Drosophila melanogaster: one gene and its partner. Changing the gene in region 2 together with the main gene of any one other region gives a genetic interaction. Each region holds a gene or a part of one and is shown on either strand. Other genes may lie near its edges. The genes, in order: sqh and sti.

The links.
Region 1: of sti (region 2) and sqh, changing one suppresses a phenotype caused by changing the other (phenotypic suppression), as found in Drosophila melanogaster (one study listed by BioGRID).

What each region holds. Positions count from the first base shown.
Region 1 is NC_004354.4:6,222,354-6,226,811, forward strand, and holds sqh (spaghetti squash), read right to left. Parts: upstream 2,788-4,458; 5' UTR 2,654-2,787; exon of another isoform or gene 2,344-2,653; intron 2,168-2,343; exon of another isoform or gene 2,058-2,167; intron 1,805-2,057; exon of another isoform or gene 1,764-1,804; 5' UTR 1,652-1,763; coding exon 1,232-1,651; intron 1,159-1,231; coding exon 1,054-1,158; 3' UTR 708-1,053; downstream 1-707. Other genes in the region: Efr (ER GDP-fucose transporter), read left to right, coding at 1-87; dtn (detonator), read left to right, coding at 3,822-3,867, 4,087-4,379, 4,447-4,458. UniProt on the Drosophila melanogaster protein: Required for cytokinesis, could regulate contractile ring function.
Region 2 is NT_037436.4:12,508,722-12,516,853, forward strand, and holds the start of sti (sticky), read right to left. Parts: upstream 6,095-8,132; 5' UTR 5,947-6,094; coding exon 5,661-5,946; intron 5,405-5,660; coding exon 5,160-5,404; intron 5,104-5,159; coding exon 4,741-5,103; intron 4,682-4,740; coding exon 3,314-4,681; intron 3,083-3,313; coding exon 1,580-3,082; intron 1,504-1,579; coding exon 1,308-1,503; intron 1,252-1,307; coding exon 1-1,251. Other genes in the region: tral (trailer hitch), read left to right, coding at 6,731-6,851, 7,838-8,132.

The DNA of each region.
Region 1 (4,458 bases), on a different chromosome or scaffold from region 2:
ATCAACCAGGTGAGGGACGCCTATCGGGCCAGGTCGAGCCGGAAGACCCACTTCGACACCGCTCCGCTGGCCAAGAAGGTGGAGTAATCTTCGCGGGCTGTGATGGTTCCTGCTGCAGAGGCCATTAACCATTAACCATTAATTTGTAGTCGTAGCGCCTTGTTTGTACATAGAATTTGCCTAGTGTTTAGACGCCTCTTTGTCTGGTTTGTAATTCTTGTGTCCGTGTCTTTCTAGATTTTCAAATGTTCGTGTTTTCTTTTAAATTAATAGTTGTCCAAAAAGTGTGTAATATACAACGTTGAGTGTTTCGAACATTAAGCCATCTATTTAATTGATTTTTTTTTAAATAAATTCTTGAAAAACATATATTTGCAGAAGCTGAAATATCTTCGAATCAAAAATAATGTGAGATAAGATATGAGTTTGCAAGTTCGAGTCTTTTGGACATGAACTCATTAGTCAGCTTGTCGAAGATTCCAAGAAAATTTTGACTAATTTCCGAAATCTCTTTCAATTTCCCGCCACATTTGAAGCTACATACACTTATCACATCGTGCTAGTGATCATGCTTAATTAGCCATGGGGGGTACATATTCCAAAGTTTCCCTTGTTTGATCAGTTGCTTTTGGCTGAAGGATTTCTGCAGACATCTGTTTGGTTGGACGTGCGCACGTTCTCGAGTGTAAGAAAAACAAAGGTTTATTGCCACATTCTTGTATAAGTATGTATTTGTATATAGGTAATATATATGTATATTCAATGAGTTAATACTTATGAAAGGAGTTTTTCGGGAAATCGTGTTATCTGGCACCAACATCTCACACACTACACTGTCGTACATAACAATCGCTGGTGTTGGCTACTTTTTGTTTAATTCAAATGCACGGATAAGTACAGGATTATCAGGAATCAAAGAACAGAAGGCGCGAAACCAAAAAAAAAAAATATTTATACTTGTATATATTAAATTATCAAAACGAAACTCATGATGGATAGTTTGGACAGGCTGATTGGAGAGGCAGCTGGCTAGTGAATCGACTGCTGGCGATCTTACTGCTCATCCTTGTCCTTGGCACCGTGCTTAAGGATGCGCGTGAATTCGAGGTAGTCGAACAGACCGTTTTTGATGGGCGCCTCCCGATACATCTCGTCCACCTGTGAATGTAAATGGAAAAGAAGTTGTAAGGGCACACTCCGACTTGATATCGTAAACAACTTGACAACATACATCCTCGTCTGTGAACCGATCACCCATGGTGGTCAGCAGCTCCCTCAGGCGATCCTCGGGCAGGACGCCCATATTCTCCTCGTCGAAGCAGCCGAAGGCGTTCTTGATCACATCCTCGGGATCGGTGCCCTGCAGCCGCTCGCCGAAGAGCGTGAGGAACATGGTGAAGTTGATGGGCCCGGGCGCCTCGTTCATCATGCCATCGAGATAGTCGTCCGTTGGGTTCTTGCCCAGCGAGGCCAGCATGTCGTGCAGATCCTCCTTCTCGACGAAGCCATCACGGTTCTGGTCGATCATGTTGAATGCCTCCTTGAACTCGGCAATCTGCGCCTGATCGAACATGGCGAACACATTGGAGGTGGCGCGTTGGGCGCGCTTCTTGGTGGTGGCGCGACGTCCGGCGGTCTTACGGGATGACATGGTTGCTGTTGGATTGGTGGTTCTGATGCGGTTAATGGAGCTAAATGGAGCCGGCCTATGGAGCTGGTGGCACTAGTGCTTCGCGCTGGAGTGATGTGTGTGCGGCGTGGATCTGAAATCGAAAAACGCCGACTCACATTAGCATTTCGTTGGCCGGGTATGTATTTATGGCTATATATAGACATATTGCAGCGAATTCCGCTGAAACCGATTTTCATTGCTCCCCAAACAAACTGTGTCAACATACAGTGGACGCTCGCTACAGTGAGTACACCATGCATATGCTTATCACAACGGAAAGAACATCTTATTGCTGCTCTTTAAGGTTTTTTAAGGAATGAAGGTTTGGCCATTGCCTAAAATGGGCGAACTACAAATTATATTTATAAATAAATAGTTTTAATACAGTTTTAGGCCAGAAAGGATAATGCAAAAGCAGTTCGATGGCTCCATGCTTCCGCTACAGTTACAAGTCCACCTTATCGGGCGCCCACTGTGAGTACGACTCATGCACGCACACATGCGCAGCTCTCTGAGTCACTCGCGCAAACGAAAATGACACGTATGGGAGTTTCGCTCTCGCTCTGCGCCAGTGCGTGCATGTGTATGCGAGTTTATCAATGCTGTTGAACTGCGGTTAACAAAAACAACATCGCACACGTATTTGGCTCATTGAAAACATTCTCACACACACTGGCACACGCATTTCAATTAAAGCCTTAAAAGGCCAGAAAAAAACCGCAGTTGAAGCACCCAAATTCACTCGAGAACTCAAGTTGGGCCAAATGTTTGCGACTTCGTTGATTTATCACTTTCGAATGGACATTTAAATGGAATTATAGCACAAAAACAATTGTTTTCATTTGCGCGCTGCCGACGCTGACTCATACGCATACACTAACACACACGCACACTCACATAGGGCAGCGCCCTTTGGGAGTTCAGTTCGTTTATTTTATCGAATATGATTGCTTGATTACGCCTGATTTGATTCATACTCACAGCTGCCGAATGCCGAGTGTTTAATACTATCGAAGTTTCGTTAATGCAACTTTCGACCAGCTGCACTTTTGTCTTTTATAATTTCGGTTCGACGAGAAGGCCAAGTGTGACCAGCATAGAGGCGGTTTCAATTTATCAGAAAATACCGCAGAATATGCTAAAAATTACTGTGCAAAAGTGCTAATTGTTGGAGCTCCTAAAATAAATAAATATTAAGACTATAAATTATATTATAAAATATAAAATTATATTACAAATGTGAATACTACTGAGACTAGGACCATGGCTATTAGAATCCTAAAAACCTATTGTCAGTTGTGCTACCAGATCTTGTTTTAAAATATTCGTTCCTAAGAAGCTCTTTTCTTGTAGAATCTAAAGTTTCTCAAAAAATTTTCTTAAGCAATCCCAATTAATTTTATTTTTCTTTATTCTTCACTGTCAAACATGGTATTTTTTTTTTTTTGGTATTAACTTTTTGAATTGCCCGCGTTCTGATTGGAGTTTCAGGAGTATGCGCACAGTCTGGCAGCCCCATATTACAGCACTTCCAAATACGGTAGTACCACTATCTTAGGATATTGTTTTCAATACGGTATGGACACACTGCAAAGTGTTTGGAATGTTCGATATTTGTGTAAAATTCTGAGAGACCTGAATGAAAAGAGGCATGCATTAGGGCGTCGAACGAGGGATTTTCCAGCCCAGCAGATCCTTGCCAGCGCGTGAAAAGCGAGTCGAGTGAAAAATCGAATCGATTGGCACGGTTGCGGTCCAATTAATTTCGAACTGAACTGCGCGATTTGCAGGAGAAGATGTGTCTATACCTGCATGTGCATGTGTATCTGTGTGTGAGGTGGCCCACGGCTGTGTGTGTGAGCAGCGTGTGAGTGTGTGTTGGTGTGTGGGTGTGTGGGCACACTGGAAAGAATCAATAAAGGATGTGCTGCGGATTGCTGAGCGAGAAAAAAGGACGAAAAGTGCTAGCCAGCGCGAATTAACGGTTGACTTTTGGCACGATTAACGGAATAACGGTCAAATAAGCCACACAAGCGAGAGAACAGTGAAAATAACGAAAGTGCGGGCACAGTTAATTAGCAAATTAACGAGTGGGTGGGCACAGGATTTCAGGATTTCGATATATTTTGGATTCCTGCACACGAACAAGATGATGAGATACTGCCTCATAATTGCTTTGCAGCTGTCGTTGGCATGTAAGTATCAAATAAAGTTTCCAAACCCAGGGGGGTGGTACAAAAAAAGCGATGGAGTGGGAGGAGGGAGTAAGCCAGTGGGAGGGGGATAAAGGAGGAGTGGGTGACCTCCGGGTTTAAGAAAATCCCCAACCCCTATGTTACCATTACCAAAATTCAACTAATTGACTCCTTCATCTACTCCCAACCCATAACAAATCCATGCCGAATCCTCGCCAGACTCCGTGGAGGTGCACTTCGAGGCGCCGGACAGCGGCTTCTTTCTGAAGCACGCCCGCCAACCACCTGTGACGCCGGAGATCGCCAATGTGCAGACATCCTCGGCGGTGCCGCCGTTACGGCAACGATCCTCCTATGATTCCGTGTTATCTCTGGACAGATTCACTGTGGTCGAGACCACGCAGCCGGTGTCCATACGCGCCAGCTATGGACCGTTTTCCACGAAACAAACGGTGCCAGCCCGCTACATTGTGCCGGACACAATGGACAGCCAGTCGGGCGATTATATGAACGTGAGTTATCCCCAAATCCTGGCAAGCAACAAAAGGACGCCTTGTCATACCACTTTCTCTCCCACAGAATGCCACTCTA
Region 2 (8,132 bases):
TGGGTGCATAGACCCAGTTCAAATCGTACGGCCTGGATCTGCAGCCAAACTCGTCCACAAAGACGCCATATTCGGCAAAGCAGAGCAGATACTCTTGTCGTGAGATGCGCACCGCAGTTAGGGGCTGGCACTTGGCAGTGCTCTCCATTGACTTATCGGACAGATCCACAAACTCCTCAGCCGCATAGTTGTCCAAATCGATCTCGTAGAACTTATCCGAGCTAACAATGGCCGAGTGACGCGTAAAGAATATGGATGTGACCGGCGTGGCCGTGTCCAAGGCTCGAACTGGCTTAAACATGTGCAGCTTAAGGTCGTACTTCAAGATGACAATCCTAGTGGACGTGGCCGCAATAGCCACCGAATCCAATGCGTTCTCCGCCTCATCGGAGATCAGCACTAGTTTCCATTTCTCCGATGGCGTGCGATTGGCAAATGGCAGCTCAATGGCCGACGTTTCCAGCACAGGCTTGTGACACGAACTGGAGCTCTGACAGCGTGACTCCAGCTGGCGGTAGTCACATTGATATAGCTTCTCGCCAACTGTGCCCACCATTATAGCCTTAGCCAGGCGCTTGCAAATGGACATGCAGCTCACCGATTCGAGACCAGAAATGTGCACCAATCGCTGCGAGTCCAAGTGATACGCATACAGTCCCGTGTTACAGCCCAATAGGAGTATTTGCTGCTCGGCCACTTCAAAGGCGCAGTTCACTTCGATCTCCTTCCGTGCCTGATCTTCTGCACCATCCGAACTGTAGACCAGCGATCCAATGTACTCGCCACCGCTGGTTGTACCACCCGCAACATCTACGCTATCCAAAGTCAAGCTGGAGACAGATTGAATACTGCTAAGATCATCGGCTGACGGTGCAGTCGGCTTGGTGGATCCGCAATGGCTCTGAACATTGGAGCGACACTTGCGATGCGTAACATCTTTGCACTCCTTGCATTTCCAGAACGGCGAACCGGCAACGACGGCCTTTTCGCAAACTACACAGTTGACGGCATCCACCTTGGACTCCTGCAGGGCCAGTTCGAAACGGTGATGAGCCTGGTTCTCAATGGTTACTTTAGTCGGTTTCTCCGCCGTCGTCTTCAGCTCCACCTGGCTGGTGGTGCGCTTCAGGGGCTGCTGCTGCTTCTGTGGAGAACGTGGCAAGGCAGCAATGCTTACGGGTCTCTGTTTGGGTGCATCGGAGTCGCCATTAACAGCTGCAGATTTGCGTGGAGAGCGCAAGGTTGCAGTTCCTAAAGGAAATATACAATTAGATACAAACATCAAGCGAAATCTAAAGAAATCCCACCATTCAACTGAGCCAACTGCTCCTTCAGCAAGCTGTTCATCTTTTGTTCTCGCTTCAGTTCCTCCTTTAGAGCGCGATACAGAATGGAAGATTCCACGTCATTGGGTGACACGTTCTCCTTGTTTGTGTGGCTAGAACCGAAAAGTTTGTCCGCCAATGTCTTTTTCTTCTTGGCGGATAGGTCCTCAACTTTGAGCTAAAATATAAATACAAAAATGTTTTTAATCTCATTAACTATTCTCTTAAAAAGAATATATATAAACTAGCTATACCTGAAGGTAGTCAATCAGCTTTTTGTGCTGCGCAAGTGTGGCATTCGATTTAATGTCCCGCTGCACGTAGAACTGCTCCTTCTCGGCCAAAGTGTCCTGAAGGGAATCGATCTCTGCGTGCAAGTTGGCTTGCGCAGACTCCAAGCCCCTTATCTCCGCCTGAAGATTGCCAACCTCCTCCTTCTTGTGGAACAGCTCGCTGAGAATTCTAGCATTTTCCTCCTTCAAACTAACCATTTCGCGATTCGAATCCGCAGTTTGGGCTTCGTAATTGGCATTTTGCCCATCCAAAAGTTCAGCTCTCTCTTGGGTGGCAAACAGTGCGTTAGTCTGCTCCACCAACTGATCCTGCTGCGCCACCAGCTTCTTCTGCTGCTCCTTGAGATTGAGACGAAGTTCATCGATTTCCGATGCCAACACTTGAGCACGCTGCTCCGCCAGACGCTTTTCCGATTCCACCGTAGTTAGTTGCTTTCGTAGATCAGTTAATTGATCGTTGCGCTCTCTGAGTTTCTCATGAAGGGTATCAAGTTGAGATTTCTGGGATTTATTTCGTTCCTGCTCCGATTTTAGCATGGTCTCCACCTCAGTTAGCTGGCTGTCGGTAATGCTACAAGCGTACTTCAACCTCTGGAAGTTATCGGTGAGTTGTTTCAGCTCCTTCTGTAAGACCAAACAAGAGTCATTCGCTTTCCTGCTCTTTTCTCGCTCCTCCTGCAGTTCTCGAATGGTATTCTTCTGTTCCAAAGTTACACCATCAAATCGCGATTGGATTTGCCTGAGTTTCTGGCGCAATTCCGTCTCCTGTTGTTCTAATCTGTGCACATTGGCCAAGTGCTCGATTATCTCCGACTTGCACTTCATGCGCTCCTGCTCGGCCTTTTCCCATTGGCGGTGCTCCTTGAGGACATCCCTTTTGGCGGCCGCCAGTTCCTGCTTCAGCTCCTCGATGCGAGACTCCCGCTGGCGAGTTTCCTCCTGTGACGTCTTGAGCATTCTCTGCGCTTCATCGCTTGCGTTCTGCACCTTTTTAATCCGATCCTCTGTGAGTTCCATGCGACGCGCCAGTAACTTCTTCTCGGACAAAGCTTCCTCGAGCTGTTTCTCCACCTTCCAGAGCGATAGATTCGCTGTACGCGCTGCCTGACGTTCCACAATCATCTGCTCTCGCACTGCTGCCAATTTATCCTCCAGCTTCTCGTTTTGCCGCTCGAGCATATCACCAACGGTTTCACCTTCTTGCTTACGCGATGAGTGCGATTTCGTGGGTGAAAGACTCTGCTCGTTGAAGCGCTCCAGCATTTGCTCCAGTTTGGTAACCAGCGTCTGCAGTTGATCGGCGCGTCCCTTCTGATGGTTTTCACTCTCTTTGGCGGCTAACAAGTCGGCGCGAAGTTGATCCTCAATGGCATTCAGTTCGGTCAAAGATCCAGGCGCAGTTTCGTAGGGGGAAACCTGGGTGGCTAGTGAGGATTCAGCCAGCTGACAGCGACATTCGGCAAGCTAGTTTAAATTAATTCATAAAGTATATTTACAAATTACATATCTTTAGGTTTCTATATTCATCGATTCAATCGAAAGCTATATGCTTCATTAAAAATCATTAAGACTTTAAGTTTGACACAAAATAAAAACACAAACATTCACAGCCTGCTAAGATTTCTTTTTATATAATTTTTTTTTACTCAATATTGCAGTGATTGAATTAACCAATGCAGATGAATAACCACCTACCTGCAATTCCCTCTCAAGTCGATGACATTCGGCTCTAACTTCTTGAGTTTCATTTTCCTTCAGCTGCAGCTTCGTCTCCAGTTTGACCTTTTCCGCATGAAGCTCATTATTGGAGGCGATCTCCTCGTTCAGACGCCGCAGAATTTCTTCGATATTCCGCTCGGTAGCGTTCTTCGCTTCTTGGGTGGACTTGCTGGAGGATATGGACTCGTCCAGCTCGGTGCGTATTTCCTTTATCTCCATTGTCATGCGGCGGTTTGTATCCTGCGAGTCGCGAACCTTTTTCCGGAGATCTGTTAGCTTTTGCTCATACAATTCGGCCATTTGGCGCCTCTGCTCCTCATGGTTTGTCTCGGACTTGAGATTCTGCTCCTTGATCTGCTGCAGCATATCCTTGTAGTTTTGCAACTTCATGGACAAATGCTTGCACTCTTCGAACTTGGCATTGAACTCCAACTCACGGGCATCTAACTTTTGCAGCGTGGATGCCAGCTCTTGCTTTTTGTCCGCCAATTGTTTCTCATATCGTTGCTCCGAAGCGATCTTGGCTTCTTCGTACTTTTGTCGATTAAGGCGAAGGAGATCGGTGATAGTGGCTTCCTTCTTGGACCACATTTCCTCGTCTATTTTGGCCGAACTTTGGAGTGTCTTAATTTGCGTCTTGCAAGTGGTAAGCTCCATTGTTTTCTCCTTGATAATCTGTTGCAGCTTCTTAATTTCCATTTTAGCATCGGCTACCACCTGAGATTTGTTATCGGTCTTCCTCAGCGATTGCTGAGCCCGCAGAAGATCTTGTTTCAGCATGGAAATCTCGTTCTCTCTAGTCTTCAGTTTCTGCAGCAGTTCCTTTAGCTTCTCCTGAAGCTTTTCATCGGTGGTAGCGGAAATTGCCGACTTTTCCATGTGCACAAAACTGTACCCAATGAATGGCAGATCCTTGCCACTGAAATCATTCGATTTCATGTTAGTCGTAAGGGACTTTTTAGCAACTCCCTGTTCTCTGCGAGTCTTATGACGAATTCCGTCCTCGAAATTGGAGGTATCATCGTCAGACCTAACAGTTGGTATAATCGGTGGAACCTGCGAGCGAATGGAACCCCACGGAATTTCGCTAAAGAAGGGGTGATTCTTAATGCGCTCATAGGACAATCGCTTCGAAGGATTTGTGACCAGTGACTCAATAAGATTTCTATAGTTAACAGACACCTTCAAGTCGGCGGGAAAGCTGATGAGCTCTTTAAGGTGACTCTCCTCGCAATGGGAGAGAATCTTGGAGTATGTCTCGTGTACATTGTCCTCGTGAAAAGGTGTTGTCTCGCATATTAACTCATATCCTATAATGCCCATGGACCAATAATCGCAGCTGACCTACAAAATGAGTTCTTGTTTTAGCTATGAACTTTCCAAACCAAACTCTGCGATCGTACAATTCTACTCACATCGTGCATCGACTTGGACAGCTTGTAGGTGGATATGGTTTGCAGCAGCTCTGGAGCTATGTAATCCGGTGTTCCCACCGGCGACAAACTCAGCACATGGCCATCGCGATCCAAGGCAGCGGCATTACCGAAATCAGCCAGTTTAATATGGCCAAAACGATCAATCAGTATATTTTCAGGCTTTATATCCCGATGCACATAGCCCATCTCGTGCAATGTGTGCAGGGCCACTGTGAGCTCGGCCAGATAGAAACGAGCCAAGTCCTCATCGAAAGGGCCGTGGCGTGACATCAAGCTGAGAAGGTCTCCGCCGGGCATGTACTCCATGACCAGGTACAGATTGTCGTTATCCTAAGTGATAAGTTAATTCAAGTACTGAAATATGCGAAAATGTGGAAATAACAAACCTGAAAGGCATACTGCAGATTGATTAGCCATTCAGAGTTGCGAATGGACATGATATCGCGCTCCTCCTTGACTTGTGACGTCGTCACCACCGACTTTTTGATCTTCTTCATGGCGTATATGTCGTTGGTTTGCCGCTCCACCACCAGGTGAACGTTGCCAAAGTATCCTTGGCCAATAAGCGTCTTGATGAGGAAGTCATCTGCGTTGACCCTGAGTTTGCGGGTCTCCTCTATGATGGGACGAACTGGAGTAGGAAATTAGATAGTAATATAATGGGTAACTAGGCATGAGCTCTATTTTCAAGGAGGGAAACCGGAACATACAGGTAAATCTATAAGAGATTCTACTCCCAATAATTTTGTGGGCTTTAATAATGGAATATGATTAGCAAAAGTAGATTCTCTGACCCGAGGAAGTAAAAATGTGGCTTCTGAGTTCCATTTCTATAGAATGGTAGATACTCCATCCGAAAACCCTGCTGACCAATGCAGTTGACTCACATTTGTTGACAAACTCGGCGATGTTGCGATCGCGCTTCTTCAGCGTATCCTTGTCGCACTCGTTGTACAGCAGACAGAAGGCGTCCAGGAGTCCCTCGCGGCAGATGGCCTCGGCCACGGCGGCGCTAGTGGTGCTCACGGGTACAATGCTTCTCCTGGTGGAGGCGGGAATACCTGATCCGGAGGCGCTTCCAGCGGGCTTCGCACAGACGCCAGCTCCTTTGCCCAGAATCAGGTTGTTCAGACGCGCGGTGCGCACGCTAATCGGCTCCATCTTGGGTGGCATGATGGACTCACTTTTATTTGCAATTTTCTCACATAAATAATACAATTAGAAATCCGTAAAATGCCAGAGCATTTTTCTGCCGTTTCGCTTTGAAAAAAATGCGCCGAGGGAAGCCGAAGAGCCAGGGATGCGTGCTCACTTTCCAGAGTTGTATTTAGGGTTGCAAGTAGGGCTGCCCTGTGAAAGAGGATAAAATTTGAATTTTAATGCAAACAGAGAACGGATAAATAATGAAATAGTCTTATTTACTTTTGGCAACCTTTTGAAGCGTCCCCTTTTATATTTTGCACAGTTTTGCACATAAACAGTTATTATTATTATTTCGCTGCCGCCGCCGCTGCTATACAACCGCGCTTTCCAACACCGTCGAGGCTCTCGCTCGTATGCATCGTTCATTTTCGACGGGTAGGTTTTCGCAGACGGACGGAGCAAAGATTTGTGCATCGAAAATTGCAATTTTCACATTTGGAGCCGTGTGTGCAGCATCACAGACATTGGAAAAGCGCTTGTCGCACTTGTGCAAAAACACAGCTTGATAAAGCAAACGCGGCTAGAAGGCGATTGGCCGCAAATTCGCCCTGGAACTGGAACGCAATTGCGTGTGAAAAAAAGACGGAAAAAAAGTAAAAGAGCAGAGACTGAAACCGTCGAGAAATCGTTGTCGTCGCGCTCGCTATAATTGTTTGCTTTTGACAGAGAAATTCGTGTGCCTGTTGGCAGAAACATTTAATAATAGTTTGTATTTTCGGCGTGAGTGCGCAGTGAAGCATCGAAGTAGTTCAAGATGAGCGGGGGATTACCGGAGTTGGGCTCCAAAATCAGCCTCATTTCCAAGGCGGACATTCGATACGAGGGCCGCCTGTACACGGTGGATCCGCAGGAGTGCACCATTGCGCTCTCGAGTGGTAAGTATTTAATACGAAAATCGCCCACGTCGCCCATATATGTACATATACGGGATATACATATGTGGGTGCCGTAATCTGCGCCAAAAAAAAAGAAAAAAAAAATCGTGTAAAAAAACGGTTCATCGCAAAAGAAAATGGATTCTGTCCATTTCTCTTGTGTTGGTGGCTCTACTCTTTCTTTCCTTTTGGTTCGTTTCTTTTTGTTAGTTTTTACAGTAATTTCATACTCGTGGAGACGGTGAGTGCAATTGCCGCCACCGCTCTCTCCATTACCCATTTCGACAGCCGTCTCTCGCTCTCCCACTTATGCTTTTTGTTTGTCATGTTGGCTTTGGCCTGTTTTTGTCTTTGGTTGTTGTTGTACAGTGTTGCTTTTGCAATTTACTTGGCACACATACACCCGCGCACAAAGTAACGAGCACCAGCAAGGCCCCAATGCAATTTGTTTATTTGCAAATACAATTTCGATTTGGCGCCAGATAACGGGATCCAAGGGCTCCCGTTACGGATGTCAGTGCCCTGGAAGTCGAAAAGGAGGAACGGAGAGCGGAGAAATACCGGCAAAACATGCGTTCCCCAGTTGAGGTTAAATTGGAAGCGCGGCCTAACCTTAATGGGTTTACAAGTTTGCCGCAATCCAAGTAATTCGTCTTTTGAACAATTGCATTATATAATGCGGTGCATTCATTTTAAAACAATTGGAATATAAACTTGAAAGATGTGGGCTCGGAAAGTTCCACTTATTAGATGGAGCACTTTTAAAAACCGACTTAGAATACCGGTTAAGCAAAAAAGGTAGCTTATTTGCAATGGAAAAATTTAAAAATTTAAAAGTTTAGTTTTGTGAAAGATCTTTCTTAAAGCAATGGAATAAAAATGGCGGCTGGGATAAGAAAACTTTACGGAAAAAATGTTCACTATTGTACTCTTTATACGATTTAATATTATAACTCAATTCATTTTAACCCTCTTTTCTTTTTCAGTGCGATCCTTCGGTACAGAAGATCGGGACACCCAGTTCCAGATAGCGCCGCAATCGCAGATCTACGACTACATCCTATTCCGTGGCTCGGACATCAAGGACATTCGCGTTGTCAACAACCACACGCTGCCGCACCACAATGACCCGGCGATCATGCAGGCGCAGCTCCAGAACGGACCGCCCCAGATGCCGCAGCACTTCCCCATGCCCAGCGGGATGAGCGGTCCGCCGCAGCAGCAACAGGTGCCGTCGCAGCAACCGCCCCAAATGCCAAGCGGTGGAGGCAGTGGTGGTGC